3 linked regions of the Drosophila melanogaster genome follow. The protein of the gene in region 1 interacts with the protein of each later gene in a pairwise test. Each region holds a gene or a part of one and is shown in the gene's direction. Other genes may lie near its edges.

The links.
Region 2: the proteins of Pif1A (region 1) and tj come close enough for resonance energy transfer, tested with the Drosophila melanogaster proteins (one study listed by BioGRID).
Region 3: the proteins of Pif1A (region 1) and Xbp1 come close enough for resonance energy transfer, tested with the Drosophila melanogaster proteins (one study listed by BioGRID).

Annotation. Positions count from the first base shown.
Region 1 is NT_033777.3:8,795,232-8,805,341, reverse strand, and holds the start of Pif1A (PFTAIRE-interacting factor 1A), read left to right. Parts: upstream 1-4,165; 5' UTR 4,166-4,467; intron 4,468-4,562; 5' UTR 4,563-4,648; intron 4,649-5,397; exon of another isoform or gene 5,398-5,880; intron 5,881-7,295; 5' UTR 7,296-7,440; coding exon 7,441-8,018; intron 8,019-8,375; exon of another isoform or gene 8,376-8,405; coding exon 8,406-8,637; exon of another isoform or gene 8,638-8,696; coding exon of another isoform or gene 8,697-9,120; intron 9,121-9,173; coding exon of another isoform or gene 9,174-10,110. Other genes in the region: CG9839 (uncharacterized protein), read left to right, coding at 1-150, 216-1,777; CCT7 (chaperonin containing TCP1 subunit 7), read right to left, coding at 1,940-2,263, 2,337-3,156, 3,223-3,483, 3,662-3,664; Ir85a (ionotropic receptor 85a), read right to left, coding at 8,697-9,120, 9,174-10,110.
Region 2 is NT_033779.5:19,459,997-19,471,444, forward strand, and holds tj (traffic jam), read left to right. Parts: upstream 1-4,270; 5' UTR 4,271-4,759; coding exon 4,760-6,295; coding exon of another isoform or gene 6,296-6,427; 3' UTR 6,428-7,762; downstream 7,763-11,448.
Region 3 is NT_033778.4:21,138,350-21,148,287, forward strand, and holds Xbp1 (X box binding protein-1), read left to right. Parts: upstream 1-5,199; 5' UTR 5,200-5,527; coding exon 5,528-5,787; intron 5,788-5,851; coding exon 5,852-6,515; coding exon of another isoform or gene 6,516-7,111; 3' UTR 7,112-7,401; downstream 7,402-9,938. Other genes in the region: magi, read right to left, coding at 1-624; CG9406 (uncharacterized protein), read left to right, coding at 4,126-4,138, 4,197-4,434, 4,487-4,697, 4,750-4,848; Hmg-2 (high mobility group protein 2), read left to right, coding at 7,952-8,355, 8,415-9,141; CG15657 (uncharacterized protein), read right to left, coding at 9,365-9,621, 9,681-9,765.

The DNA of each region.
Region 1 (10,110 bases):
CGGATCTCACTGAACTCCAATTGCAGCTGGTGGCGGAGCAGCAGGCGGCCAGCAACACCATTCGCTTGGAATTGGAACAGCAAGAGAGTGATTCCGACGAGGATGGCTACTCAGAGCTCGATTACCAAGCTGAAGATGTCTTCTGTCAGGGTAAGAAGGGTGCTCCTCCCGTCATTTCAAGACCCCACTTATAAAATTATCCTTTTTAAACCCAGACGATATGGATGACTACGATCCAGATTGGTCCAGCCAGCAGACGGGTTCCCGACTGCTCTTCAAATTTCCCATCCAGCAGAGTGGCCTGAAATTCGGACAACGCTTCCAGGGACCACAGCACTACTTCAACCAAGTGCTGGGAAATCGCTCCAAGTTCTTCAGTTCCCTGGCCCAAAGCTGCAACCTAAAGGGAGGAGAGCTCAAGTCCAATCCCACAACTGCCGAAGAAATGGAAATCTTTATGGCGCTTTCCCTGCTTATGTGTGACCTGAAGCTGGAGCACCTATCGGATTACTGGAGCACTAACATGTTTTACGGTCTCGTCGGATTCTCTGGGAAGATTCCTCTGGAACGGTATCAGCAGCTGCTGCACTGCCTTAACTTTGATGCACCGCAGCTACAAGCGGGCAGAGCCAAAGTGAAGAACTCTCTACTGCTAGACTTTATCAACGAGCGTATGGAAGAGATATACATTTGTGGCCAGCAACTGGTGCTCAATGAACCTATCACTCTGTGGAAGGGTGCATTAAGATACCAGGATGAACTTCCAAACAAATTCCGCACCAACGCACTACTGCTGCATATGCTAACTGAGCAGAGCGGTTTGGTGGTGAAGATTCTACCGGAGATTGTGCGGAAGGAAGACGCACCGGCATGGGTACGCAATTCCCGGCAGTTGGTGGAGCACCGAAACAAGATTGTCCTGAAACTAATGGAGGGTTACCATGGAGGACGCACTGTGTACACCTCAAAGTTCTATGGAAGCTACGGCCTGGCTCAGGAGTTGGCCAAGAAAAGCACCTATTGCACTGGTCTGCTGGACAGGAATAGATATGGCAACAGTAAGGCACTGGTGCACCAGCGGTTGGATTCCAACAGCATCTCCACCAGCTATGCCACTTCTCTGATGATGGCCAAATGGCGACGACGGGCAAAGAGCTTGTACTGCTTCAGCTCTGACTGCTTGGCCATTTATTCCAAGGAGATGGCCATGCAAAAGACAAATGCAAAACCTAAGTTGATCCAGGAGCTCGAGTTTCAACTACGACCTGGAAACGACGGTCGCCACCACCTGATCCACTACCAAGCTGCCTGCAAGGAGCTGAAGGCAAACATAAAGTTGACCATTTTCCTACTCAACATCCTCGTGTACAATGCCTATTTGCTATACTTTGCTAATGGCCAGAATGCGCGAGTCGGACATCTTAAAAGTTACTCGGAGTTCCGGGTGATCATCATAAAGTCGCTTCTAAGAGAAGAAGTGACGAACGAACCGGTAACTAGTATCCAGAAGCCAGAGACATATGAACGGTCAAAGAACAAGCCGGTGCCCGAGCCCAGGTTGAAGACCATTCTACACGAACCCATGCTTATCCAGCAGAACGGGAAGCCGGCCAAGAAAAACTGCCGCTATTGCCACAAAGGCGGAATGCTGCAGTTCAGCAGGTACATGTGCAACACCTGTCCCGATAAGCCGGGTCTATGCCAGGAACCCTGCTTCCTTCTCTGGCATGAGCAGCTCAAAAAAGTAATCAGACAGACAATTGGACGAAGTGAATAAAAATGGATTATCATTCGTTAAGAGGAACAAATGTTTTTTGTTTAAAGTTTCACACACAAGTTCTTTAAAATAAAAACTTATCCTTCCCCCTTTCAAATATAAATTTCAAATTCACTCATCGTTAAGGTGGCTTTGTATGGACAAATACCATTGGACACTCACCCTGGGCGTGCTTCTGGCGCAACTTGTTGAGAATGTTGGTGGCATCGAAACCGGCGTTGTCGCACAGCTGGCGAGGAATGATCTCCAGGCCCTTGGCGATGGCAGCAATCAGCAGCTGCTCCTTACCGGCAATGGTGCGCGAATAGTCCCGCAGCAGCTTGGACAACTCCATTTCAATGGCACCGCCGCCGGCCACAACGGAATCGTGCTTGATGGTGCGCCGCACGATCATAATTGCGTCGTGGAGGGATCGCTCAGTCTCCTCCAGAAACTGTTCGGCACCGCCACGCAGAATAAGGGTGCTCGTCTTGGCATTGGGGCAGCCTATTTAAAATGGAAAATAACAAGTGGTTGTTAAAACGAGTCCTTCAATTAAGTATACGAATAAGATTCTTACCTTGGAAGAGGTTGAAACGTTCGCCGCCCACTTGGCGCTCCTCGAAATGTTCGCACAGGCCGAGTACATTGGGCTTAATGTCGTTGGCCGTCGTCATTACGGCTCCACCGCAAGCCTTCATGGTGCGCTTAAGATCTTCTTCGGGAACGCGGCCGGCGCAGAATATGTCGCGGTCGGCGAAATACTGTGTGGCCACATCACCGATGGGCAGCTTGGAGAGGACAACATTGGCGCCGGACTCGTGGATCTTAGCCAGCTTGTTGTAGAGGATCTGCCACTCGGCGTCGACCACCTTTTGGTACTCCTTGACGTTGTCTACGCGGATCTCGGCGTTATCGCGCTCAGCCTTAAGCTCCAATTCGATGTTGAGCAGGGCAATTTTGCAGTTGTCATAGGATTTGGGGGCCATTTCAAAGCCGGCATAGGAAAAGGTCTTCTTGAAGGCCACACCCGACACTAGCTGTGACTCCTCCAGCGAGCCACCGGTCACCTTCTTAATTCCAATCATGTTGAGGGGCAGCAGCTCATCCAGGGAGAGCACAGCATCGACTACAATGCGGGAGAAGAAGTCCTTCTGCTGGTGAATCAACTTGGAGGACATGGCAGTGGCTGCGCACTTCTCAAGGAGAGCACGCTGCTGGTCCTTGGACTGTTCGACAATTTGGACGGCCATTTCGTTGATCTTTTCCATGCAGAGCTGCAGGGCCTTGCGGATGGCCTTAATGATGACTCGTGGGTGCACTCCCTCCTCCACGAAGGGTTTCACCTGCTTAAGGAACTCGCCGGCCAGCAGAACCACGGACGTGGTGCCGTCACCCACCTGAAGGAGAAGTCGAATCAAAGCTTTAGCAGTGTCACGTGCGTCTCAGGGGTGCCAATCACTTACCTCGGCGTCTTGTGACTTGGCAATGTCCACCAGGGTCTTGGCCGCCGGGTGGATGATCTCCAGCAGCTTCATGATGGTGGCTCCATCGTTGGAAATCGTCGCCTTGCCGTGGGCATCCACAATCAGCTTGTCCATGCCGCGGGGACCCAGAGTGGTCCGCACTGCGTCCACGATCGACTGGCAGGCATTGATGTTGGACACCAGTTGCGGCTTGCCCTGCGACGAGTCAGTGCCTTCTTTGAGGAGCACGATTTGCGGTTGCTGCGGATCATACGGATATAAGGCGAATATATAGTAAAAGTCTCCAATTAGTCAGCAGATGTCGTCGGCTTGCGAGAAGCTTCTTTGCAGGTTATGTTTACAATCTCATGCCGCTCGCGGACGAGTCCATGATTGGGATTCACTTGGTTAGCCTCGGATTATTTCCAGCCGGACTTACCATATTTATGTGATGGGGTTGGCCTTTAGCACGTATTACAGTTTAAAACAATAAAGTTCCTAGCAGACAGGCGGCAACTTGCTTTTCGTTCACGTTTTCCGCGATGAGTAATGGGCCAATCGATTAATCGTTGTTATTTTGTATTTAATCGATGCTTGCAGCCAGTGTGAACGTTTGGGGACTTAGTCGCACTTTACAATGAAATTTGAAATCCTAACTCATAAAAAACTATCTATTTATTTCTATCTTGCGATTTTTTAACTTTATGGTACAAAGCTAGTTTCCACACTTTTTGATGAACATTTTAAACTAATATGATATGCAGCTGGTAGTTGTTATCGAAAAAGTTATCGATGGCTCCATGACGTCACTCTTGACCGGCGAGCGGTTTTTTGAAATTGCTCCCAACTTCAAATATAGATTTGTGATTCCTTCTATTTATATAAATTTGGCGATGCACGCACGCATGTCGCTTATTCCATTTTAGAAAGTGCGCCGCATCTTCAGTTTGTTCCTACCGCTCAACTTGAGTGAGTTGTGCACCGAGCAGCAATTAAATGAAAAATAGAAGAGTCATTTGAAAGGCCAAAACGCCAGAACATTCAACCGCAAATAGGTTTAAATGAAAGAAAGCATTCTAAATCTAATTCGGTCATGTGGAATTGGAATTTTAGTTGCCCAAGACTCCTCTTAACGACGACATCGAACCACAAGGGATGCCAATGGATACTAACCGGATACTAGACAATTGCCGAGTGATTATGAAACAAATCAGGATGCTGAACCGACTATGAAAAATGCAAATAGTGAGTAAGAAAAAGAAAAGTGAAGTGGGGCTCCCACACGATAAGGCACTCAAATCAAAGTGCAAAGTTTGTTCCCCTTTTGTGCTTTTATTTAGATTTCCCCTGTGTTGACTGACTGGAATCGGAATGTGTTCTAATTGTGTCCATCATTCATCGCGTCGTTAAGGCGATTGTCAAATTTGTATGTGATTTGTGAAGATTCTTCAGCTGTTGGGGATTATAGACATAAAGATATTCATACGCAATACGTTTGGCATTTAAATCGAAATTAAAAGTATGAAATTTTAATTGCCATAAAAAGACTATAAAAAAGTTGAGCAACTTAAATGTTTTGCAAGTATGTTTATTACCAAATTTATTTACTTCTGGTCTAAACATATAATAATAGATGCACGTTTCAACAGCTTTAATGTCACGTCTTCAGATTGCTCTTAAACTTAAACTAGCACAAATGCTTTGTGCTGATATATGTTTGAGCAACGCGCCTTAATCATGCGGAAGTACTTATAACAATGTTTACACAGATATAACAATTTAACTGAATTTTATCATTACTTTATCAAACTTATACCGAATTAATATCCAATCAACCTGAAGTTCCGATATCTTTTATTTCACTGTTTGTTATTTTGACCAATTTCGTGGCGGGTTGTGTGCATATTTTGGTTATTAATAAACACGCGACTGGTTTTTTTTTGTTATGAAGTCGGGAACCGGGAGGAAAACATCTTCGGCTTTCAATAGATGGGCTCTTCCGGCTTCACGTCGGCCATTCTTCGGGGCACGCACACAGACCCGAGCTTTGCCACCCCATAACCCCAAGAAGTGCATGAATAAATGGCAAAGCTCCTTTTAATTAAATGGAAATGGAGGCAAATGTGAAAGAGCTTGCGAAAGCTCGAGAGGCCGAGTTAGTCAATCGGTGTCCGGCCGAAACGAAAGATCTCTGCTATCGCCGAGCAACGAAATTTACCTAGTATAGAACACTTCTTTTAATTTACAATTCAAATTGATTGCAACTAATTAGGATACTCCCCAAACGAACCGAACATAACTCACTTCTATTCCGACGAACTTGTGTAACTTAATTGATATAATTTCGAACTTCCTGTACGAACTGTGTGAATATATTTGAACAAAAATATATCATACTTTGCTTAACAATTGTCGAAGAAGTGCTCCACATACCGACGATATTCTACTTGGTCTGTGCGCGAAAAAAGTTGATTGAAAATTAACGTATTGACGTCATTACACTGCAAGAAACAGTGGCAAGCAGGCAGTAAATAAACTGTTTACATTACAACATCGTCGGTCGACTTAGTGAGTGAGTGAGTGAGTGAATAAACATATACAGAAGTTTGAGGCACACCAACTGTTGGTCTACGACGCCCAAGGATTTCAGAGCTAATGGTGCGTATACGTGATCTTCGGTGAATCAGCCGAAAGAGCCGCAGACTGTACACTCGACGGCTGACCGACTCATCGTTTGGCAATATTTTCAAATTGATATATGACTGAAAATATACATACTTAAAGAGCAAAAAAGAGACTTTCATCTGCCCATGTGGATGGCTGTGGATGTGGATGGCAATCGAGTGGGTGGCTTTGCTCGTATAAAACCAATCCCAACCAAGCCGGTCACACCGAGGCTGTGATGTCACCATGGCGTGTATGTCGACCCCAAAAACACTTTATTATCGAGTGGACTGGGGGCGGTTTTAAATTTAATTAAATGAAATGCAACATGAGAGCCATCATTAGCCCCAGTCCTTCAGTTTATAGAAAAGCCACAAAATAAATATTACATACATTTGGAACGAACACCTCTTTTAGGGTAGTTTTTCCACTAACAGTTCGGTTTTGAAATACGTCCAAGAGTCAATATCATAAAGTTTACTAATAATTACTTATAATTTATGTTGATAACCAGAAAGTAATAAACTTGGGCACCACTCACTTAAGATCCCTCCCTATTAACACCTAGTGTATCGAGCTGGAAAAACAAATCAAATTCCAATTAGGCGCCAGAAGGTTGCTAAGTACACAAATCTGTCGCTCTACATGTGTATATAGATCGTGGCCTTGATAAAGATGATCGGCCAGAAATCTCGGAGAGCATTCTATGAACATATGAACTGTGGGCCTACTCGTGTGTGCACCTCATACAGTATATATATAGATGCTTTGTTATAATCTTTGGGGCGGATGTGGGAGCAGTGCAAAGAATTCTGTTTCTGTAGAACAAAAAAAGTAATGAAAAGCGGTTTTATTGCGTGTAAAGCGCCCCAGTGGGGAACCTCACAAAACAAAAAAAACACATGTACATATGAATGTACGTACATATTCTGTTCTATTCCAAAAGGCGCGCCACATGACGTCATTAAGAAAAGTCATTCCGGACCAGTTTATTTGGTAAGCCCAACGCAATTGGCGTTGTAAACTATTTCCCAGTCCCAGGGTGCCTATATGTTTCGTTTTTCATTCATATGTGTGGCCCGACCCGATGTGGCGAAATGAAGGAAAAAGCTTTTCCGCTGAAATCAATAATGGGGGAAACTTGTTGATTAGTTCAACCCAGTGAAGAAAAGCGTTGAAGAGTCTACGGCTAAACAGAAGCCATTGAAATGCTGACAGACAAAGGGGAATCTTTGCGATTCTGAAGAAACAACCTCCATGCGGGCAAAGACTCGGAATTCTGTATACTGTGTAATTTTTCAAGGCATAATTTGTAATAAGTAGATAAGAGTAGGGCTTTTATTGTATATGCTTAAAGCATTATTAAAGCCACATTATTGTATACTTTATTTTGAATATATCGCTTACAGATTGAGGAGAATCCAACGATGACCAGGTGAAGTATAGCAGGGACTTTCGGCAGGATCGGGGTGCACCGGCATATGCAGTACTTGAAAAAGCAGAAACCCAAAAAAAAACGACGGCAACATTTTTATATACTAAAGTTACATAAAAATGGCTGAAAACCAAACCAAAACGACCTCTAGCAAGGGATGTAATACAATGAGCAGGACCGCCCATATCCTGGCGCCCCACAATGGGACTGTGGTCCGCCGGACGGATCCTGGCTCCAAACTCAAAGAGAGCTTCCACACGGAGAAGCACGATATCGAAGACTGGCAAACGATGGCCAAGAACAAGTTGAAGCGCAAGAAGAAACTGAGCAGCTCCCTGACTTCCGTTGGGGATACGGTGAATCAGGAGAAGCGCACTCGCATCGAGGGCATCCAGCTGCATTGTCGCGGCAAATTGCGACCCAAGGAGACCCAATCCTTTGAGGCCGAGAAGGGCCCATCTGCCGGCTCCCAGAAGCAACTGGGAAAGGCAGAAAAAGATCGAGAACGACCCGTAATAATTGGTGGCGTGACTACCACAAATGTGATAGCAGCACCTCCACAAAGGATCAAGAGAAAACTGCAGGAGAACATGGACACCATCCAGAAGCTAAATGCCCTCACGGAGCAACTGCGTCTGGAGGTAAATGAACTGAAGTCCAGTCTGATCACAGAACGCGGTGCAGTGAGAGCCTTAAGGTAAGTCCATTAATATACATATATACCAATAAGGAACGTGATAAGCCCATTTCATTTTACCTTAATCGCACCATTTTATATTGCATAATGTTGTGAAACTTTTTAAATTGAGTTATCAAATACAAATACATTCGTTTTAAAAGTATTCGTGCACTGAAAACATATTTGACCTTTCATGAAAGTGACGATTGGCAATCAGTAAACTCGGAAATAAATATACATGCAATCAGTTTGTTCAAGATTACATTTAAATATTTCTGGTTTCATCTAGATATAAAATATGATAGAATAGTCACACGTTTGATATTAAAACCCATTTCGATCTGATCTTTTGAATTTAAAGAGACATTAAAAAATGCAATCTATCGCTTTTTTATTTCAACCCAGGGCTCAGAATGACGCAGATAGTCGTCGGTGGAAGAGTGAAGTGAAGAAGTTGCAGCATACGCTGGAAATGGCCAAGAAGAGCAACGGTATAAAGAAGGCCATCGAATCGGGCCCAGAATCGAGTGGTGCACATGTGACCGCCGATGGCCTCATCAACTATGAAATCCAAAGACTGACTAACGAGATTGCCGTGCTGAAGGAAGCGAATCGAAACAAGGAGGAGAAGACCCAGGTAAGTGGACGCCACATCAACACAATCATCCGCCTCACATTGCATGCTGCATGCGATAGTTAGTCCCGCCGCTTTGTTACCGCCAAATTGTAGTTGTGGGTCAAGTGCTCCCAGGCCAGCACAATGCATGCCATCCCGATCCCCACCAGCCACAGAGCGAATACGGCGTGGAAATGCTGCAGTTTGAGGACCACCGGTTCATCATTGCCACTCCCGCGTCGACGGTTTACCACCTTTACTCCAGACTTAATAAAGGCGGAGTTCATGATGCGATCCCAGTATCGCTCGAATCCAAACTCATGCGAACTCCGGATCAGTGAGTCCAGGAAACCCAAGTAGGGTGAACCGTAGGGGACGATATAAACGGCGTGAAACGGCACCAGGCAGCTGTTCATCAGGTGGAAAAGCGGACGACCCAGGTGCATGTGCACACGGCTGTTCACCTGGAAACGGGCGATGTGATACTTCTCCAAATAGGCAAATCTGCGAAAGTAGATTTTATGGAATTACAGCAATTAATCCACGTACACGCATACCTTATGTCATTGTTCCTCATCATTTCGTACATCTGGGTGTCGGAAACTTCCAGCATTTGTTCCCGAATTCTGGACTCGTGCTTGTGTCCCAGGGTTAGGAAGTGTTGGATATGTTTTACGTGCCTTGGACGAATGATGATGTGGTAGTGGGACCTAGCCAACGCACCCAATTGGTTTATATCGGGTAGATAAGGCTGGAACACCATCATGCTGGTCAGATTTCCCTTGAATGCCGAGCATATAAGTAGTCCAAAGTAAAGCCAGAAGATCAGAAACAATCGGATCGAGTGGTTTGGCGGAATCTGGGTCATGGGCATAGTTAGGGCTCCGGCGAAAAGTTGCATGGGAACCCTACCCACTTCAGATTTCAGGATGTAGCAGAAGACATTCGCCACCAGAACAGAAACCAGAATTAGGGCCCAAACTAATGAGCCAAATGAGCGAAATATGTTCCAGAAAGTGGGAGCAGTCTTGGCTTTCGGCACAATCACGCAAAGATCATCACGCGTGTGGGATACCGTGCTTTCCGCCTGTTTCCTGAAGGTATCCGGAACCAAGAAACGAATGTTCATGGCCACATCCACGTACTCCTTGGCCACCTCAAGGAAACATATGTCCGAGCTGAGATTGTGGTTGTTATACGAGTGCGGACGCGTTATCATCATGGTCGCGTTCAGTCGCTCAGCCACATAGGCCGCCAGCAGGCCATCGGTCCCCAAGATAGTTCCCTGTCTCCAGAAGATTGCCCTCACATCGTCCTTGTAGATGCACATTCTCAGCGGCTTCCTCTGCATATTGGGTATGGTCTTTGGGAAAAGCTGCTCTAAAGTTGGAACCTCGTTTGGTTTATTGTCCACTGGTATCAAATAGTTGTCCATAAACGGGTTGTACCGATAGGCATTCAGTCGTCCATCTCGCCAGTAGAGGATCACGATGT
Region 2 (11,448 bases), on another chromosome or scaffold:
AGGACCTCCCAAGTGATAAATGGTTGCGAAATTTATTTACTTTGCACTACCGACTGCCAACTGTGTGTGTGCCAGAGAAAATTATGTGTGATTATGAGCTATTGAAACATCATAGGGACATTTTGTGTTTAGAATTTGCTTTTAAAAAATAAATAGGAATTTCTTAAAGCGAATAACTTTTTTACTTGATTAAATAGTTTTGTAGAATTTAATTTCTATGTTTTTTAAAAGGCCAACATTAGGTTAAGAAGTATGTATGTTTCCTAGAAATAAAGGTTGCTAGCTAGCCTTTTGGACGAGAATTTTTGCTTTTAAATGAGTGATTTTGAGTCTCATCCTAAAATTAAAACTGGTGCACATGCACTAACTTCCAGTCTATCTTGATCCTCCGTCACAAGTCATTAATGCTGTATTGGAAAAGTAGGAGCATAAATCGCGTAAAAACTCATTGTGCAACAACACAAAGGAGACCCCCAATGGAGTTGCACTCCCGCTGAGATATGTGGATGGAAAGTGAGGTGGTGGCTGGTTTTCCACCGGGGTACGGAAGGTAAATTGACGTGAACATGTCAACGTTATTTGCCATTTCAAAATCGATTTTTTGTAGATTCACCAGGAGACGCTCGTGATAAAACACGACTATACTTCGTGCTTAAAGTGCACTTGAGGCGATGATCTGCGGGATTCCGGGGGCGATGGGGATGGACTGTCGGGTACAATCAATCACATCACCACATGGCAGGATGGCGACCACGTTAGAGCGCCTTTTCCCCAGTAAGTTGTAATGCTGCCTAATCCGGCGTAATAAACATTGTCAAATGCGTTCACTCGATGCGGGAGGAAATCATTATTGACATCCACATACACATCATCATCAGCGGCAACAATTGAAATGCAATTGAAAAGAATCGCGCACAAATATTTGCACTCGGATTCAGCGCCAGTTGACAATCGAATCCCCTCGAAGTTCGGAACGGATGCAAATGAGGGGCTTTAAGAGCGAGGTAACACGACTGTGGCTGGCATACCTGAGAACTCGAAAATAATATATTATTAAAAAAAAAAATAGGAAAAACGAACTTAGTTGGTATGCAACGTTAAATCCCATTTACACATCCCGAAGATTTTGAAAATCGCCATTTACACCTGTATTTCTGGAATGTACATATAAGCGATTTCATGTATCAATATTATGCATACAACTTAAGATTGTGAAGTATGGTGATTTTGATTAGTAATACTTTATTACCCTATATTAGCCTTCTGATCCGTAACACCCTTAATTCCATATGACTGTATTATTCCATCTGTATCTTTGCATATTTTCAGGCATGGGGGTTAAGTGCAAATAAGAAACCGAAAAGTTTGCCAACACGTGGCCGAAAGCCCCAATTCCAGCCAACTGACTGCTCTCGATTCTCGGTTGATTATTAACAATATTTTTAATTGGCCGCCGGTAAATATTTGCACACCTTTAACCCTTTTTAATATGCTTAAGTGATGCTCCTGCCGGACTATCGCGCTGTCTCTTTCTATCGTCGATTGTTCGTCTTTGTCTAGCGAAGCGCCCCAATCCCCGCATCTACTGGAAATCAGCACAGACAACCAAATGGAGCATACAGAGGATAATTCGATTGTGTTCAATTTAATTTTGACAAGCTTCAATGAAGCCCAGAACTCACTTCCCCACACCACCCCTCCCCCACATTTCCCTTTGCATTTTCTCCCGCTCTTCCCACCCACAGCAGTTGATTTGATTTTGTTTTATGTTTTTCCTGCTGGCTGAGGGACTACGGAAGAGTCCTGTTTTCTGCCATCTTCCGCCCCTTTGCCGATTCCTTTCGACACAACAATTGCGTGGAGAATGGGTGTGCCTGAAATGCCAAGGGGGAGGTGGGTGGATGGGTGGGAGGATTTGACTACAAGGCCCAGTTGTCGCAGCAAGTGGAACAAAGTTTTGTGGTCACTTTTGCGGCTCGCAAGCTAACCAAATACGGAATAGTTCTCTTGGGAAGGAGTTCATTGAAACGCTTCACTGGTGAATAGAAAAAGTTTAAACGAGAAATCCCAAAACTAAATAAATAAATATTTATAAAAATGTGGGTAATAGAATAATATATATTTTCCCGAATATGTAGCTATAGCCTTAATGTTACTGAAAATTATTGTTTGCTGAATATTATTACGGAAGAAAATTACAAAAATATTATTAAGCGCAGTGAATCAAATTTTAAACAACGCTCTAAATATTCTGTTGAATTTAATTATTTATAATGGAAGAAATCGTTTAAAATAGCTTTACATATGCTAGCCTTCTTGAGATCCCTATCTTTGTGGTTTTAAGTACCTCAGATCTTATGTCGCATATTTAACCAAAAAATATTCAAATTTTAAATTTGGTAATAGGAAAGGTGGATTGGCATTGCTAGCCCACATTTCCACATACTGCCCACCCCTCCTGGCGAACCAGAACTTGTTGCACAAACAAAGCAGAAGCCTTTCGATATCCCACAACAATATTACATCAGAGCAATCTGTTTGGCCAGCGAAGACAAAACATTTGCTCAAAACAAAAAGTCAGAAAAAAGGGGTTCAAATTAAAGTAAAACAAGAGCGCCCCGTGTCCAAGTTGGGCCGTCGGAGGCTCCTAAGTTCTGTACTCCGTTTCCGCTGGATCAGCATAAAAATGCACCTGTGCACCATGGAATCCTTTGGCCCAAGCAAACACACACATGCCCATGGAGTGGGCAGTGTATTATATACGAGCCAAAACAAATCGAGCGACTTATCTCGGCTAAAACATCTCCCATTGACTTATGCACTGGAAAATGGAACAGTGGACGTGGATGTGGACGTGGATATGGATGTGCCTGTGCTTGTGCGACCCACTCCTGCATATACTTTCCTATGTGGATATACATATGTATGTATGTACATATGGGCACATCCATCTCCACCTCCATCACCGACTTCGTGTGGATGGCCAGCCAAATGAGACTGGAAGTCGGCAAATGGGGCTATGCGGGAATTTCCGTGGTAGTTGCTCATAAATATTCAGACACCAACACACTCGCAGATGGGGAGAGCCACACCGACACACACACGCGCACACAGTGGCAAAGTGGGCGGAGTCGACGACAGCATAAAGTGTGTCTGTGTGTCTATGTGTGCCATTTTTTATGCGCTCCATGGCAATTCAAAAACGCAAACAATAAACCGAGCAGCAGAGCAGCCACACCAACGGTTCCATTCCACCACCAACAAAGTGAAATCCCAGAGCATAGATTTGTGCTCTTGCACAGTGGTCGAGGTATTGGGTATCAAGGGCTTACTGAAACATTACTTACGTGCTACATGTTCCGAAATTTAAACATTAAATAGCTCATCAGTATATATAAAATTTAATAATGTATATAGTATATAATAATGTATATAGCATAATGCATAAAATATGTTTTTCCATGTCCAATTATAAGGCAATGCAGTCAATTTTCTGGCTTGTTAAGTCGCTTTTTTAGACTGTTAACAACATCAACATATTTGTTATTGGTGAAGTAATGTTCTTTGACCAGAATGATTGTTAGTCAAGGGAAGCGATTTTAGCTAAGAATTGATTGAATTTCCACGAAAAGGTCTAAATTTCTTTAAAATACTTAAAAAAGAACGTGAAATTAATAGAATTTTGTATAGATATTCAAGTGTTGTAACATTTAAAGCAGATCAAAATATAATCGCTTTTTCAAAGTTCAAAGTTAGTCCTTTAGCTATAAAATATTGTATTTGATTTAGACAACTTAAACTTGTCAAAATGTACGAATGAAATTATTTTATATTTGCAATTTTTTATCCCACTGTGCAGTGCATCGAATCTACGAAGCTTTCCCGGCTTGACTTTTGTTGTTGTTGTGCGCGAGAGCAGCAGCTGCCGGCAAAAGCACAAACAACAACTACAACTACAACGAAAGGCACTCTCTCTCTCTTGCGGACAAGTGCCTCCCCGCCCTTTCGCCTCTTTCCTTCCTCTAGAACCGTCATTTCCACGTTTCCAACAGGAGTTCCCTCGCACCAAAAGCAAAAGCATCAGCGAATGGCGTTCGAGCTCGGTTTTGTTTGTTGTTGGGCTGGTCGGCTTTTTGGTTTTGGCAAGTCGTTTTGTTTGTCGGCTGTTGGGAAAAGGAATGGGTGTGTGTGTGTGGGTGTGCGCGCGCTGCGCTGCCATTCTAACAGTTATCATCAAGGGAACAGAGCATCCAGAGCAGAGCTTCCAGAGCAGAGCCACCCTCCAGTCAGATTCAGTCCGACCTTAGTTGAAACGGACACGGAGTTCAGTCGCCACCGTTAACTCTTTCACATTGGACGCGAAAAGCGCGTTCGCGAAATTAGTGAGCAAAATTGGAAAGAGAGCGAGCTTACAAATGAATTAAGCGCCAAAGTGCGGATAGTGATCGCTTTAATAAAAGCATACTTACATTTTAAATCATAAATAAGCAATCCAATCTTTTACAACGAAATCTAAGAAACCGGCATCGAAGTAAATATCTAACAGATTCTGGGGTAACCCCAAAAAAAAACGTAACCTAAATCCTGAGATCAAGATAAAACTTAGCCGCAGGCCGAAAGCGCCAGTGCCTGGTTCCGTGACCCCCGATCGCGTAGTTGACCTTTGAAACCACCCACTAACCACCACCCACCAATCAGCACGGTCACTCCCTTGCATGTGAGACCCGTAATCGACCCTCTCCGGTCCCTGGTCGATCCAATGAAAATGGAAGATCCCACCATAAACGACACGTACGTTCAGGAGTTTGATCTGCACCACCTGGAGGTGGGCGGAAATGGAGCTGGCCAATCGCATGGAGCCGGTGCCGCGTCCCAGGTCACGACTTTGGGCCATGTGAAGCGCGAGGATCACAGTCCACCGCAGCCGGTGGCGGTTAAATGGACGACAATCCACGGCGATCCCACGAATCCGGACGATGACCCGGACTCGCTGCCGCTGTCCGGACCAGAGCCCGCCGGAGCAGTGGAGGTCTCGCCATCGCCGCACATCAAGCTGAGGTCCTTCTCCGGCCATCACCAGTGGCACATGGACGAACGGCGCCTGCAACCGCTCTCTCCGCCACCAGAGCAGTATGGTCCGCTGCCCGGACAGGCGATTCTGGTGAACACATCTTCGGGAGCGGGCGTTCCGGGCGGAGTGCCCTCAACGCCGCCGGAAACGCCACCAGTAGTGGGCTCGCCCACGGGCAGCAGCAGCTGTCCGGCTCAGACTTACGCACACCACTATGCGAGGACACCGGGCAGCTCCGTATCCGTATCCGCCTCCGCCGCCGCCGCAGCTGCTGCCTCCGCCGGAGCAGCATCGGTGAGTGCCGGACTGAGCCATGACATGATGTGGCTGACCAACTCGATACGGGCGGACCAGCAGCCGCTGGATCTGCGGCCTTTGCCCTATCCGGGCTCCCAGGAGGAGGCGGAGGAGTGGGACAGACAGCGGGACTACGCCCTGCAGGCGGCGGCAGCTCATCACCACCATCACGGACAGCCGCTGATGCAGGCGCAGCATCATCCGCATGGACACGGCGGTCATCCCCACCAGGTGATGCTGCAGCAGAGCAAGTATCCGCACCACCATCACCACCACTTCCACAATCTGGAACTGACGCCCATCAACATGCACTCGAACTCGTACGGTAGTGCTTCGGGTGCCCTGACGCCCACCTGTCTGCCCCAAGTGCCCAGCAACGGGAGTGGCAGCAGCGGAGGCGGAGGAGGCAGTGGAAGCGGGAGTGGTGGACCCGGCAGCGTGGGTGGCGGCTCCTGCGTCATCACACGGGCTGCCCTTCAGCCGTGCCGCCCGCTCTCCGCCAGCTCGACCAGATCCTCGAACAACATGTCGCCCAGAACCTGTTCGGGTGCCTACAGTAATGCCACGCTGGAGGATTGCCTCAATGACGACATGCTGACCACGTTGACGGTGCGGGAGCTGAACAAGCGGCTCCATGGTTGCCCACGGGAGGAGGTAGTGCGTCTGAAGCAGAAGCGACGCACCCTGAAGAATCGCGGCTATGCCCAGAACTGCCGGTCCAAGCGACTCCATCAGCGCCACGAACTGGAGAAGGCCAACCGGGTGCTCAACCAGGATCTGCACCGCCTGAAGCTGGAGTACTCGAGGGTCTGCCAGGAGCGGGATGCCCTCATGCAGCGTCTGCAGCGGGCGGCAAATGGCGGAGTCGGTGCGGGAGGTGCAACCGCCGGCGGCGATAGCCAAAGCTCTCCGGAATTCTACCTCTGACGCCAGCTGGCGGTGGCCAGCGGCTCCTCCGCATCCTCATCCTCCTCCTCGCAGCAGCAGCAGCAGCACCCCCAGCAACTTCATCTCCAGCATCGGGGTCCACAGTGGAATCCCCAGCAGCTGGTCAACTAAGTAGAGAGCGTTCCGTGTTTAAGGTACTTTCACAAAGAGTTGATCATTTCCAAGAGCTTTTCCTAGACACAATGTATAAGGTAAATTGGTTTGATTCCAAGAATGTTTTCCAAATAGTCTCCACTCGAAAGAACATGTTTTCCAAAAAGAGTTTGTTAAAGCGTTTCCAAGGGGTTAGATGTCAGAATTCAAATTCTGTTTGTTATACATTCAAAATGATTTGTGTTATACCACGCGTTATTGTAAGTTTGTCCCTATTTTTGTGTATTCTTAAAAATAATTTAGTAACTAGGTTGGATTTTCAAGAGAAGTGCATTCCCATTACCACCACTGTTGATATTTATTCCCTCATTAATTTAAAAACATTTCCATTTAATCAATAATGCTGAAAAATTAGGCGGTTTCCGCAGAATTCTGTTTAGCTATGTTACTATGAAATTTATTAAAGGGGTTTTTAAGCGTTTAATTTGCCATTATTCTGATTGCGACAATAAATTCCGATGAATATCAGTTTGAGAACTTGGAAAGTGATCGACAGAGATTGAGATAGATGAGATAGAAAGTAAAGTGCGAGAGAGAGAGAGAGAGCGTGTTTGGATGGAACTTTTGCTGATTATCAGTTTGACTAAGGCAAAGATCGATTATAAATAAAACTAATTGGAACTCGTATGTATAAAGGACAAACATTGTATAAACCCAAGGAACAAAAACAAAAAGGTAAATTAACTAGCGGCTTCTGATTATCAATCGCTAAATTATTACAAAGTACGAGTTAGTAACACACGCTTATTTGTTGATTAGTTCTAGCCTTAGTTTCCCTACTAGTATTAAGCGAAACAGAAGCGAATTATAATATCATAGATGCGATAGTTGTTCTAGAGGCCGTGCTTCCCCTGCCGTTTCCGTTTTAGCCACACCGCCCGCAAAAATTCCAATCCTTCAGTAGCAATACATCTAATAAAACTAAAGGTTGTATTAAGTTAAAACACCGCAAGCTGGAAGAACCGATGTATAAAGTGAAACTGGATCGAAGCGAAGAACAAACTCAACTGAAGTAAACTAACAAACTAACAAAGTCCTATACAATTTAATGAGCACTGAAAATGATGATCGAAAATAATGTACATACACCCACACACTTACGTATAAAGATGAAAAGATGTAAATTTAAGATTTTTTGAATGCATTCAGATTTCTGTCTTTGTGGAACTAGAAGAAACACACGCGAATACTGAGCCGGAAAATTAAAGATTAATTACAAACTAAAAACAATTGTGAGTAGTTGATAAGTGTGCATAAAACAATTTAGTAATAAATAAATCTAAATTAATGAATAATCCTATGTGCGTTCTTTCTTGGGCGCTTCCCTGCCAGCCAAAAGGTTTGCAATCTAACTAGTAAACGTTAGATTTCAGTTTCAGTGCAACTGTAAACATTGATACGGATTAAAAGATTCATTGAATGCTCATGAACTGAGAGTTACGTTCGTTTCTTTGGATGCTTGATAGTTTAAACATTGAAGATCGTAAAAATATAGAATGCTCAGTTTTTCATAGTATTCAAATTGTATTCTATTTTGTCCCCATGCCACATTCATATTCATATCTGGGTTTTAGAAACCACCGAGTGGGTCTCAGCTTGCATCATAGATTTTGGGTTTCATCTCGCCGTTTTCCGAGAAGTGGCATCTTCTGTGTGGTCTGTCGGCATGGATAAATGGGCTTCCAGCGACGACGACCCCCGCGGGCAACAGTTTAAGAATCAAAATAAACACTTCGATCCCGATCCCTCTGGACTTCGATAAGTTATGTCAACAAACTTCGGTCGCGTAACGGCGCATGCAGGAGCTCTGGAGTAGTAGGAGCTCCAGCTGAAGTGCAGCATTGGGTTACAATCGTCCACATGGAGGAGATCAGCATCAGCCCCTAGGAGGGGGAGGGGGCGGTGTTGGAACTTTGGAGCAGTCCAGCATTCAGTTGGGGCGGCGTAATTCGGCAATAATCAGAGGGCCGTATCTACATATCTGCATTTTCAAACCGTAATAAATCCCTAATAAAAATCGTTTCCTTTGGCCTGTTTATTTTCATTTCAATTTCGATTCACTTTTGCGGTGTCGCCTCGCTACGCTTTTTTCAGAATCTGAATTTGTTATTTTTATTTTGATTATATGAGTTTCCTGCCCTACCAAGAACCCAAATCTCTTAGGAGCTTATGTAACCAGACGAAACCACTCGATCGAAGAGTTGCGCAAGTATTTTTGATGAAATTCGGGTTTTTTGTTTTGGCCCAAGTGATGGCGATCGCCATCAAGTGGACATTTTTCTTTGATTTCTTTTGCCCTTTACTTATTTTTTTTCTAGCTTAATTCTCGGCCAGCAGGAAGTTTCGGATTTCGCTTTTTCCGAGCATGCAATAAAAATTGAAATAACTGTGGCCGAAATTGGAATCAAGCGACTGGCTGGATTGGAAAAGACTTTGATTCAAATATATATACAATTTCTTATCGAAATCATTCAGAGGTAAATAATATAAATTAAAGAACAAATATTGCATCCAATGAAAGACAATGTACATACATATGTATCTTTTCAGAAAGAATCTTTAAATTTCATGCATTTATTATGATTCATAGCTGGTCTGATTTATTGAGTTACTCTTTTTTGTTAAAAAAAAAAAACACAATTTGTTCTGCCAGGAATTACATCTCTTATCTCGTCTGAGTGGCACAAAGCAATATTATATTTTTAATATTCGCCGACCATTATTTTGTCACTTTCATCGAGAGCACACTTAGACCTTTTGGCTCACAACCAATCCGATAGCGATTCCTGATCCCATTTCTCATTGAGGTCTGCGACATTTCGGAACTCTGGCTTCAAGTGCAGATTAAACAATAATTATGAAACTCTGATGCAAATCGCCGGCGACAGAGAGTCTCCTTGCCCCCAGCTCCTCCTTCACATTCTGAGCCGGAGGGCAGACACGAGCAAAGTCCCGGGAACAGGCAGCTTGAGTGGATGTCACAAGAGTGGATGAGCTGAGGATTGGGATTGCGGGCAGCGGAGCAGCGGCGTTGAGAGCCCGGCATCTTGTCAAATGAAATTTATAGACACGGCAATGACAATCGGTAAATTGTCATGGCCATGGGCTAAGTTCATCTTGGGCATAATCAGTGCTTAGGGGCAGATATCCCGAGCCCGGAGTAAAAACCATCTCGGACAACTGGGATGATTGTCAACATTATTATGGTCCACACACGCACTCACACTCACTGCTTGATTATGCTGTGCATTCGGGACACTCTTTTTATGCCTGCACTGCGACGTGTGACGGCTTTGATGAGACATACACTGCGAGAAAGGAAATATCATTAAATAAGTATCAAGAAGGTCAATAATGCAGATGGCATGTTTAACAAAAAACTTGCTTACATATTTCAATGTAAAAAAGGCCCTTTGCAGAGTGATATCTAAAATTATGAGTAATGTTATATGTATCAGCAAAAAGTTATGATTTTTTATATAATATATCCAATAAGTTTTTTAATTCATAATCATTTTACTCTGTAATAAATGTAATTGAAAAAAAAAAACCAAACTATTATCTATGTTTTAGGCAGCAATTTGCTTGAAAGCAAACATAGAATCGAGGAAATATCAGATTTCTCTCAGTGAAGCGATGGGATCGGATGGTGTGGCGTGCGGAATATCTTCCTGGCCTATCTGCTGCGGTGCGGGGTGGTGCGTTTTTTTATGATGCTCCTCAAGTGGACGAGGACGAGGAGGAAGCGGCGTCGAGCGACACGCTTAAGTGGCTCGCATACGCCCCCAGCCGCTCCGGCTGGTCTTAATTCAATCGATAGTTCACACATGTAATCGCATGGCCGGATGATTGGGGGGCTTCCTCCTGCATTTTACTTTTACTCCCTGGGTCTACCCGATTTTCCGCCTTTCTCTGGGTTTGCATGCCAAACACGTAGCGTTGACATTGACGGTGGGAATGTGGGGTGTGTTCTGTTGCCAGTTTCTGATCTGACTTTAACCTTAAATCGTTAATGGTAACACATTAGTTTTGCAGCAGTTTGCGGCGTCACTCTGCTCATTAGGCTAATGAAGAGCGGCTAGCAAGTCCTTCAGGAGCTCATTAGTTGTCGCTTTGTTGGGTTCTCGAAAGTTTTTCACCAAAATATGCTCGTAAATCTCGTTTTGGCAGCGCCCGAAAAGGGAAATTTATCGCGAGGAAGGACAAGTGCCAAAAAGTTTTCGGCCAAATCCTATCAATCATTGATGTGTGCGGATATCCAAGGGTGAGGAGGTACTAGGAATTTAAGGAAAATCAGATTAAATAACAAAGGCTGTGGGGCTTTTCAATGCCTACACAAGTTCTTCGGATTTAGATCTTTTGTAAAACTATCCACCTTCGTAGATCAAAAATGTTTCAGTTTATTTAAACCTGTTTTTCTTGATGTTATAATTTGTACAAGCAACAGAAGAATGAGTTAGTCATGTTAAATTCGTATAGGCTTTGTTAATCGTATAAATTTAATCTCCATCTGTCACCTCCTTTCCTCACTATATTCCACCCATTTCTAATCTGTGGGCTGGCATCTTGTAAAAATCCTTCCTTTCCTGCCAAAAGTCCACTCCCCTCAGCCCATTGAACTGGGTCCATTGTCTTGCGTTTTTTTATTGATGTGCTGGCTGCCTTGGCTGTTTTTTACGACTTCACCCCGGCCGCTTGGTGAATGGTCAGTGTCAGTTCAGTGTCATCCCCTGCCCAGTGCCCCTGCTCCTCCAGCCGCATCCGCACATCCTTGGCCATGCAGCTCTGTCCATCGAACGTCCCCGGGGCGATTTTCATACTGGCACATCCGTTCGCAATGTATCTTTATCGTTTTATACCGCTTCCGTGGCCAGGACTTGGACTTGGAGTCGGACTCGGAATCCTTCGGCGTCGCATAATTTCCGTAATGACCAATGATATAAATGGAACTCATTTGCCAGTCCCCCGCATTCCCTTGC
Region 3 (9,938 bases), on another chromosome or scaffold:
CTGGCTGTTTAGCGAGGAGGTGCCACTCAACGAGGCAACATCCTCGCGTGAAGCTGAATTTCCAATCACTGCTGAGGCGGATTTCTTAAGTGCCGGCGGCGGTGGCGGACGTAGATGGTGGCCACCTGGTGGCGCTAAACCGCCAGACTTCTCCCCGTTCCCAGTTACAGTTCCATTGCCATGCCCGCTCCCGTTACCAACCACATCTGTGCCAGCCGAGGACAGTGTCTGGGAAGCGGCTGCCATTTCGCCGGCATCGCCACCATCGTCCACATTGTCACGACTGCAATTGAATTTTCTGCTGCTTCCGTTGGCAAGGCTAGAATTTAGATTCGAGTTTCCGTTAAATGTTGCAAAACTGGTCGCGGCGGCAACAGGATGTGGATGTGGATGTGGATGGGAGTGCTGGTGTTGGTGGGAAGCATTCAGAGGCGCCAACTGTTGCGGCTGTTGTTGCTGATAGAAGTGATTGCTGTTGAAATGCTGCTGTTGCTGCTGCTGCTGCTGCTGTTGCTGCTGCAGCATTAGGTAATCGGTGGGAGACTTGGCGGTGGCCACGCCCCTGGCCGCCACACCTGCTCCTCCGCCGGCTGTCGACGTTGTCGTGGCCGTGATTATTGGCATTTTAAGCCGGCTGACTGCCTGGTTTTTAGCTGTCTTTAGCTGCGATCGCAATCTCTCACACAGTTGAATTGTTTTCAGGCACTAGCGCTATTTGGCTCCATTGCATTTGAGTTTCGTTATTTAATACTTTTGTCGATTGTCTCGATTTCGCTTTGTTTCGCTTGTCTGCGTGAATGTTTTTAGATAAACTTTGAACGCTTCTTCATTTTGCCGTTTAAATAATTGTTATGTCATTGAGCTGTCATTCCGGTTCGTGAAGCTGCAAAACAGAACAATCAAAAGAGAAACCATTAATTAGCAGTATGCAAAGTAATATAAACAATTACCATGTGTATGCATACAATAATCGTAAAGCAATAAAGAACGCTTCAGTTCGATTTGGCATGATGCTCATTTTTATTTTAAGATGCAAATATGTGCGACCTCTTTTAATATTTGCTAAAATGTATTTAAAACTGGTGTTTTAAAGCAATATATTTAGCAACCCAATAGAAACAGCTGAGTTCCATTAACTGGAATCTCAAGAGATTGGGAACTCTTGCTTGAAGATTTACAACACTTTATTATTATGAAATTCCTTAATACCCGCAACTTAAACTGCATGGCATGAAAATCATCGCCACATACTTTGAATATCCAACATTGCTGGGTGGTACCAGCTCGCTCTCCACCTCCAAACCTCCAAACCAAGTCCCAGAGCCAACTATCCAGTTAGACAGCTCCCGGCCAGACAAGCGCATTGTTCGATGGCTTGGTCCAGACTGCAGTTGCAAGTGGGGCCAATCAGTAGATTGTTCAGTTAGGCTAGTCAGTATCCATGGCAACCATAGCCGCAGAAAAAAAAACCCCTCCATTGTTGACATTGCAATTTAACGGCGAGCTGCTTCGACTTTCCCATGCCAGACGCATAGTTATAATTATTTTTGTGTGCATTTCATGGCGAGGTTTATCTTAAATTTTCGCCACTTAAAGCCATTTTTTGCAGTCTTCAAGTGCGCTTAAGAAAACCAGCTCGGTTTACTTGGATCCATATATAAAAAAAAAAACAAACTTTCTTTGTTTAATTTGGTGCAGTTAAACATTTGAGCCAGCTAGTTTTAAAACAAATTATATTTTCAGAGCAGATTGAGGCAAGTTTGCAACTCTCGCTACTTTTGAATATGCATTTATATGTATTTCAAAATAAAAGAGCTAGTTTCCCCGCTGCAAATATGAAAACGTTGACTCACGACACACACACAATTATGAGCGCGGGGTAAGGAATAAGAAAATTAACTGTGCGAAAAAAGGGGCATCAAACACGGCAGCAACATAAAGTTCCTCAAGCGAAAAATTTACTCCAATGAGAAAAAAGGCACAACGACGATCGTTGTGTGGATGGAAGCGGCATGGAGGTGGCCACAGGGCAGGGGGAGTACTCCGTGAGGCACACAGCGAGCTGCGGGCACCGCCAAGCCAAGAATTCCAGAAACGACAAACAAAACAACGGCGGAGAGAAACAAGTTTTTCAGAGTATGCCAGCAGATCGCCAGAAAACCGAAAACTGAACTAAGAACTGAAAACCGAAAAACGAAAACTGAAAACCGAAAGGCAACCCCCACAAGTACACAAAAGAAAACGTATAGAGTCCCTTTTGTGGATTACGATTTGATAAGGATTTGGATATTGTCTGTTTTCTGTGTCCCATAATTATAGGGATATTGCTCTAAAAGTACCAATTCCACTGCTCGTTTCTTTGAGTGTAGGGACACGTAACAGGAACGATCCGCGATGGTGGTAGCGATGGTGGTTGCTCCACTTGCCACACCGAGATCCTTCGCAGACCGCAAATGTATGTGCCCAGCCACCTGTCGTTTGAGCATTTCCCATTAGAGAAAAGCCGCAAAAGGAGCGGCAAGCAAAGTTGGTTGAAGGCAAGGAAGGAAAGGAAAGGAAAAGGAAAAAAAAAGATCGGGCCACTTTCGACAAACAGGCGGCGCACGACCAGAAAAAAAATGCCTAGTAACAAATGGCAATCAACAAGGGGAGCGGCTATGGAAAAGCAAGTGAAAAGCGAATAGTTAAGGCCACAATTTCACTGCACGGGGAAAATTCATCATCGGCGTTTATGGGCGCCTGAGGTTTACTGTGAAGTGAGTTGCAATCATATCCAAATGTGGTTAGGCCAGCACGTTATCTTCTTATTTTTGCACATTTAAGTTGGGATTTGATTGCATGAGGATATAACCTATTATTAGCAAAAGAAAGTCTTAACTGTTAGTACTAGTAAGCATTGATAAAAGCATGAACAGTTCTTCAGAAACTAGCAAGTTATGCTCGAAGTAAACAAAATCATCTTTTTTTCATGCAAATTGATCAGCAATCATGGAAACTAGCTTTCAACAGTCGAGTGCCAGATACATTTGCAAATATTTATCTTTTCACGCACGCCTCGCTAATTGCCATCGATCAGAGATAAACTTTCTATCGGGTAATGAAGCAAAGTGGTCAATGCCATGGGCAGAAATTGGAAAAATGTCAATGGGGGAGATAAATAACATTTTCAGTCACTTTCAAAATTCGCACCTTGTTTATTTCTGCTGCCGTTTTGAGTTGTTTTGCTTATTTATTTGGCTCGAAAACGAGTGTTAAGCGAGGGATCGATGATCAGTTTTGAGCATCCAAGTGTCGAACACTTTCCATTTTTATGGTGATTTTCGTTGTTTCTCTTTTTTTTTCTGAAAACGCGTATTTCTGAACACACATGCACATACACTTGTCAACACAACTGAGAGTTGCAGTGGCACTTGTTAACTGTGGTATTATGGCCAAGTTTTTGAACTTGTTGTGGGCCAAAAACCTCCTGGAAAACCCGTTGGAATCGCCGAACGACGTTACACACCTGCGACGATATGTGAAACGAGTTGCTCGTTTTCCATTTAACGCTGCATTCAATTGCAATTCGATTTTCCCGCAACGCGAACCGCACTCCACGGAATATCGAAAACAAATGAAAACTGAGGTGGCGCGTTGAGTTGAGTTGGAAAACCTGTTGCTGCCAAACGACGCACACAGATGCAAATGCTCAGCGACAACAAGCAAATGCAGTCTATTTCGTCCTTTAAAAGGCACTGGAAAGTCTCGAACTTCACTGTTTGGGTAACATGAAATCTTTAGCTAAACGATTGTCTCAACTTTAATTGCAAATTAATGGGAAACAAATTAAAAACACGAAACGAAAAACAAAACAGAAAACAAAATAACGCGACGCTCAACACGACTGCTTCGCAGGCAGTTATCGACTGATGCTTATCGGTCGATATTCACCACACCTAGTATGACCACAGGGGCGATACCCTTTGCTTGGCGCCATTATCGATTTCCGATCGTTATTTTCAAATTCGAAATATAAACAGCAAACCTTTAATAATGCTTCAATCAGAAAACATATAAATCAGGAAAAAATAAATCGTATTTTAAAATTATCAGTTTATTTATTAAATTCTAAAGTATATACCCGCGATGGAAGTTGGTGGTAGGCATTACATAAAATGAGCATCGCACCTCCGCTTGATATCACTAACCTTTTGTAGTTACCCTAAACAACGAACTCGAGGAAAAGATTTCGGAAGCATTTTGCATATTTGATACTCATGGCGATAAGTATATTGATTCCCGCAATGTCGGCAACGTGCTCCGATTTTTAGGTTGCGCGCCCACCGAAAAAGAGGTCGAAGATGTCATTAAAGCCACCGATTCCGTCGACTATCCAGGCGAAGCCCATTTGGTGAAGTTCATGGAACACGTTTCCAAACTGCTGATGGATCGACAGTTATTCAATATACTTTAGGTTTGTTTAGCAACTAACGATATTTGTCCACAGAATGGAACCAGCCTCGTCGGAAAAGCTTCTCGAGGCCTTTGAGACCCTGGATCCAGAAAATAAAAAATATCTGACCAAGGAGTACTTCGGCAAATTAATGGCGGAGGAAGGAGAACCTTTCTCCGCTGAAGAATTGGATGCTATGTGGCCTGTGGCAATTGATCCCATTACTGGACACATTCCCTACACCTTCTACATAAATCAACTCAGGGTAAGATCGCATTTCCCAACTACTTTTGATTGGATTCATCTAAAATTTCCAGCACAAGCCTGATATCTATGAAATTGCCGAGGTTATCAAGGAGGAACTAGCACAAGCCGAAAAAGAAAAGGGCAAGAAACCACAACAACCACTGTTTTAGATGCCCCTTTAATCAAGCAATTGCAAATAACGCGGAAAATAAATTTATACATTTTATAACAAATAATTTCCTTTCTCGTTTTTACTGTTCCACATTGAGATATAGACGGTCACACTGCCATGCGCAATTCGAGATGGCATAGTCGTTGTTCTATGTTTGGATATTAAAATGAATTGTGTGAAAAATTTAAGGAACTATTTTTTGTTTTAAGATATTGCCTGAAATGTTACAATATATTTATTAAATCCAATAAAAAAAAATTTACAATACATTTAAGCGCTTTTACAAATCATCGTTGCTCTAAATTAACTGAATTTGTAATCGATAGCCCGATACGTGCTGCTCCATCCCTCATTACCCCAACTCTTCTAGAAAAACACGTCAGCTTTTCACAGCCATTCGGAAAAGAACACGTCAGCAGAAAGGAAAACTGGTCGGTCGATATTGCAAAGGTGGATGAGAAAATTGCGTGAGACGGAGCCAGAAAAGCCCGAGTCGGCGGCGATGAAGAGATTCAAACCAGCAGAGCGTCCGAGAAGCGCAGTCGAAGTTCATGAGACGACCTAAAACAAGCAAAAGTTAAAATACGCTCTTACAATGCAAATCTAAGTGGAAAGTCGCTTTTCACAATTGCACACAGCACACAGCAGTTTATCATTTAGCCCCGAACCAGTTAAACATGGCACCCACAGCAAACACAGTGCTAATTACCGTGCCGCGGACAGCAATCACATCGAATAATCTGCCCAAATTGCGGCCCGCCCCCCTTACGGCAGCTCTGCTGAAGGTGTCGGCCACGCCCTCCGCCTCGCCCACGCCCTCGAGTTCGGGATACGCATCCTCGTCGAACATGGATGACGATAACATGGCTGCATCCCAGCCCAAGGCCAAGAAGCGTCGCCTGGACCATCTAACCTGGGAGGAGAAAGTGCAAAGAAAGTAAGTCCACCCAACTTTTAACCAAATTTGAGCGCCTTATTTAACTGTTATTATCGAACAACAGGAAGCTAAAGAACCGTGTGGCCGCCCAGACATCGCGTGACCGCAAGAAGGCACGCATGGAGGAGATGGACTACGAGATCAAGGAGCTGACAGACAGAACGGAAATACTACAGAACAAGTGCGATAGCCTGCAGGCCATCAACGAGTCACTGCTGGCCAAGAACCACAAGCTGGACTCGGAGCTGGAGCTGCTGCGCCAAGAACTCGCCGAACTGAAGCAGCAACAGCAGCACAACACCAGATGCATCAGCCAATCCAACGCCAGCGCAGGCGCTGAGGGCTGTGCGTCCACCAACCTTGGATCTGCAGCATCCAAAGCTGACCCTCTGCCGCAGGGTATACAACAGGTGGACACACAGTCGTCAGCGCGTCTGCTGGCGGAGCAGCTGAAGAGCAGCAAGAGCCTGGCCTCACTCTGGAAAGTTGTGGCCCTCTGCCTACTCTACAAGACATGCTTGGCGTCGACGAAGAGTTCGACGTCAAGCGCCTCGAAGAGCTGGCCGAAAGTCTGCTCGCAGATATCACAGCAGACCTGGAAACAGGCGCTGGAGCGAGCAGCCCAGCTGCTGCCCAAGATGCAGGCAACGCAGAGCGATTGCCTGGACCAATGGTGGGGCCCGCAGCAGAGCGCTTGGAATCCGACGGGCATAGAGCTAATGGCCTGAATGTTGAGCAGGAACAGGAAACCGAGCACAAGGTCAGCCTAAATGTGCAGATGTTGAAGATAAATGGAAACCCACAGCATACCACAGCAGCGCCAGCCTCGAGAACAGCCACAATCACAGCGACAGCGGCCGCCTCGCAACTACAGGCCACTCCGGACACAGTGTACGGCACGTATGATGCCAAGACGAACTCGATCACCATCGTGATGGACGGGGATGCGGTGCCGGTGAACGAGGCCGTCGAGGAGATCTACTGTGACGGCGTCAGCGCTGGCGACGACTCAACGGACGTGATCATGAAGTGTCCGCCGCCAGCGACGTCTCCGTCACAGGTCTATCTCAACGTGATGAACGCCGTCGACAATTCGGACGACGAGGAAAGCTTCGATCCGATCGACCGATTCCTACGTCCGCGCGTTAAGGCGATCTCCCCGTTGGCCAAATCCCCCGCATTGTCTCTACACTCGGCCACCTCGGACCATGGATACGAGTCCATACTGGGCTCTCCCACATCCGTGGCTCTCACTCTGCCCGCAGATGAGGACGATTTCCCCTGGGAGAGCAACTTTGACGAGCTGTTTCCCAGTTTGATCTGAGTTTTTCAAGCTGAAAACTTCGTTCTGTCTCTCTTTTATTGTTAAGTTTGGCCGGCCGCCGTTTGTTTAAGTTTTTTAGTTGATAGGCTGTACATAAATTCATAATCGAAGGCTTTATATATGATACTGTAGTTAGAGCGCTAAGTTTAGCTGTAGGTTTCCATTTATATTTAACAATCTCTAACCACATAGGCTTATGATTACTCTTATATGTATGTATTGTGCTCAAAGAATTTGAAAAAAAAACATTTGACTAAAAAATATTCAAAATATAAACCAAACCAAACAACAAGCTCTTTGTTTTTGTTTACTCTAGGCGAAACAGAACTTTGAACTGCGTATGATAAATAGTTAATCACGCCACTTCTCTAGCATCACGCCACTTTTTTATGACGCAATTTCTGCGTAGATGATGGGACAGTTTTAGGTGTAAGCATATGAGTCATTTTGTTTTTATTAACCAAATATATATATATTACAAAAAGTGAGTTGAACTGACTGCAGATAATGCGGATAGGTGAAATAAAACCACAACTATGCTCTGAAATATATGCACCTTATTTATTAGTATATTATTCATTAATAAGACGAAATACAGCTCTGTTTTTCTCCAAACTGAACTAGGATTTAAACAAGATTTTGCTAAGCTCGAAAAATATATTTTTTAAAGAATATAAATAGAGCCACCCTAATGCGCCAGCAAAAGCGAATTTGTTTCGGAACTAGTTCGAAAAAGTTGTTTATAGACTTGAACCAGTTTTTGCTTACGAACCACATACCTGTGATTTTGCAGAAAGATAAACAATTTTTAAATGCAATAGAGTGTACGGTTAAACAGAAATGACGGAACCAACGAGCAAGACACCGGATGCGGTTCCGGAATCACCCGTATCACTGCCCATCGCCTCCCAATCCATGGATACGGCGACCATTGAAGATTTCGACGAGGACAAACCGGCCAAGGGAAAGAAGAAAGCCAAGAATCCAAAGGGTCGCCACTCGGATTCCGACATCGGCTCCGAACTGAAGAAGCTGGCCCAGCGCCGGATCAACGTAGCCGGTGCTCCAAAAATGCCACTTAATGGCTACGTCCGCTTCATGAACGATCGACGCGAGGAACTGCGACGGGAGCAGCCACAACGTACTGCCCTGGAGCACACAAGGATCATCGGCGAGGAGTGGCATCAGCTGCCCGAGGAGCGCAAGTTGCCCTACATCGAGGCAGCCGCCAAGGACAAGGCCATGTAAGCTCACACTTCGTTTCCAACCCACAAAATCTAAACATATCTTCCCATTTTCGTAGATATCAGGAGCAGTTGCAAATGTTTCTCAAGGAACACCCCGAAATTGTGGCCAACGAGTTGGCCAAAGCCAAGAAAGCCACAAAACTGGATGGTTCGCCCAAGGAAAAGACGCCGAAGGGTGAATCAGCCTTGGGCAAGGCGAAGAAGACCAAGGCAAAGCCGGTTAAGCGGCAGAGCGAGGATCCGGATGATGTGCCTCTGGCCAAGGTGAAGCGTGCCCAGACACCACCGCCTCCCACACCGCCAGCGGCTCCAGTACAGCCCCCTCCCAGCAGCGTGCCACCTGCGACACCTGCACCACGACCGCTGCAGCCCGGCGAGATACCCATCTACACCAACGAGTTCATCGAACACAATCGCAGCACGGAGAATGAGCTGAGGACGCTGCGCAAGGCCAAGACCGATCTGGAGCAGCAGAACGCTGTGCTGGAACAGCACGTAGATAATACGAAAGCCGGGTACGCCAAGGTGATGGGCGAGGTAACTGAGCTCATGGAGGAGAACCAACGCCTGGAGACCTATTTGCGCGCCTTGCGCCAGAAACTGGTCGCAGCTCTCGGCGGAATCTCGATGCCACCACTGGAGCCAAGTGGTCCCAGCGTTGGCAACATTGACAAGTACATCCGGCACTTAGCCGGGCTCGTCACTCAGCCAAGCAACGTCACTTTGATTAAGGCACGAGAGGCGCTGCGTAAAGTGGACACCAGTAGCTTGCTAAAACCGTGATTCATAGTACAGTATTCATAGCGTTAATAACTTCACCATAAACAATAGTCATAGTCATAGAACAATAGTTATCAATGCCAAGGATATCAAAAGAGAAAACCGAATAACAATAAAATATCCGCAGCATTTGTATGTAGCCAAGTTTTGGGAGCGCCCACTTTTGTATTTGTTAACGTCTGTAAGTTAGGAGACTACTCGTATGTACCCAAGAATATCCTCATTTTTAGTTGTCCTTGGGAGCGTCAACGCCGAGAGCGAGGCTGCGATGAGAGGGAAAACGTGGCACTTTACGTGGTCCTGCCGTGATCAGTCCGGCATCGCCATCCACGGAACTCTGCAGCCTTGGCGCCTTGGTCCGACGATTCAAACAGTTGCGTAGAATATAGTAGCCTCCCAGCATCAGGGGAATCACCATTACCGGGTGACACGCTATCCCAAGCACAAACAGAAATGTGGACATCATCAGGTTGATTAGGGCCTCTGTGGATCGGGTCGTGCCGATTGAGTAAGGCGAACATGGTCGTGAGCGATACACTTACGTTCAATGCTCGAAATGGTGGCCACTGTTGTGTAGATCGCATACGAAATGGCTTCAAGCACACTATAAATATAGTAGATCAGCATTTTGGATTTGTTGAATTTCCTGGTGGAACTGAACTGCTAAAGCGATTCGGGCAACTGGGAAAAGTCAAAAAGTACAACTGAAGCAAAGGTTCCTACGACTATGAAACAATAAGAAAAACTAAATTAACTAAATTAATCAAAATAGAATTTATACTTGCTTCTCGCAGCGAAAG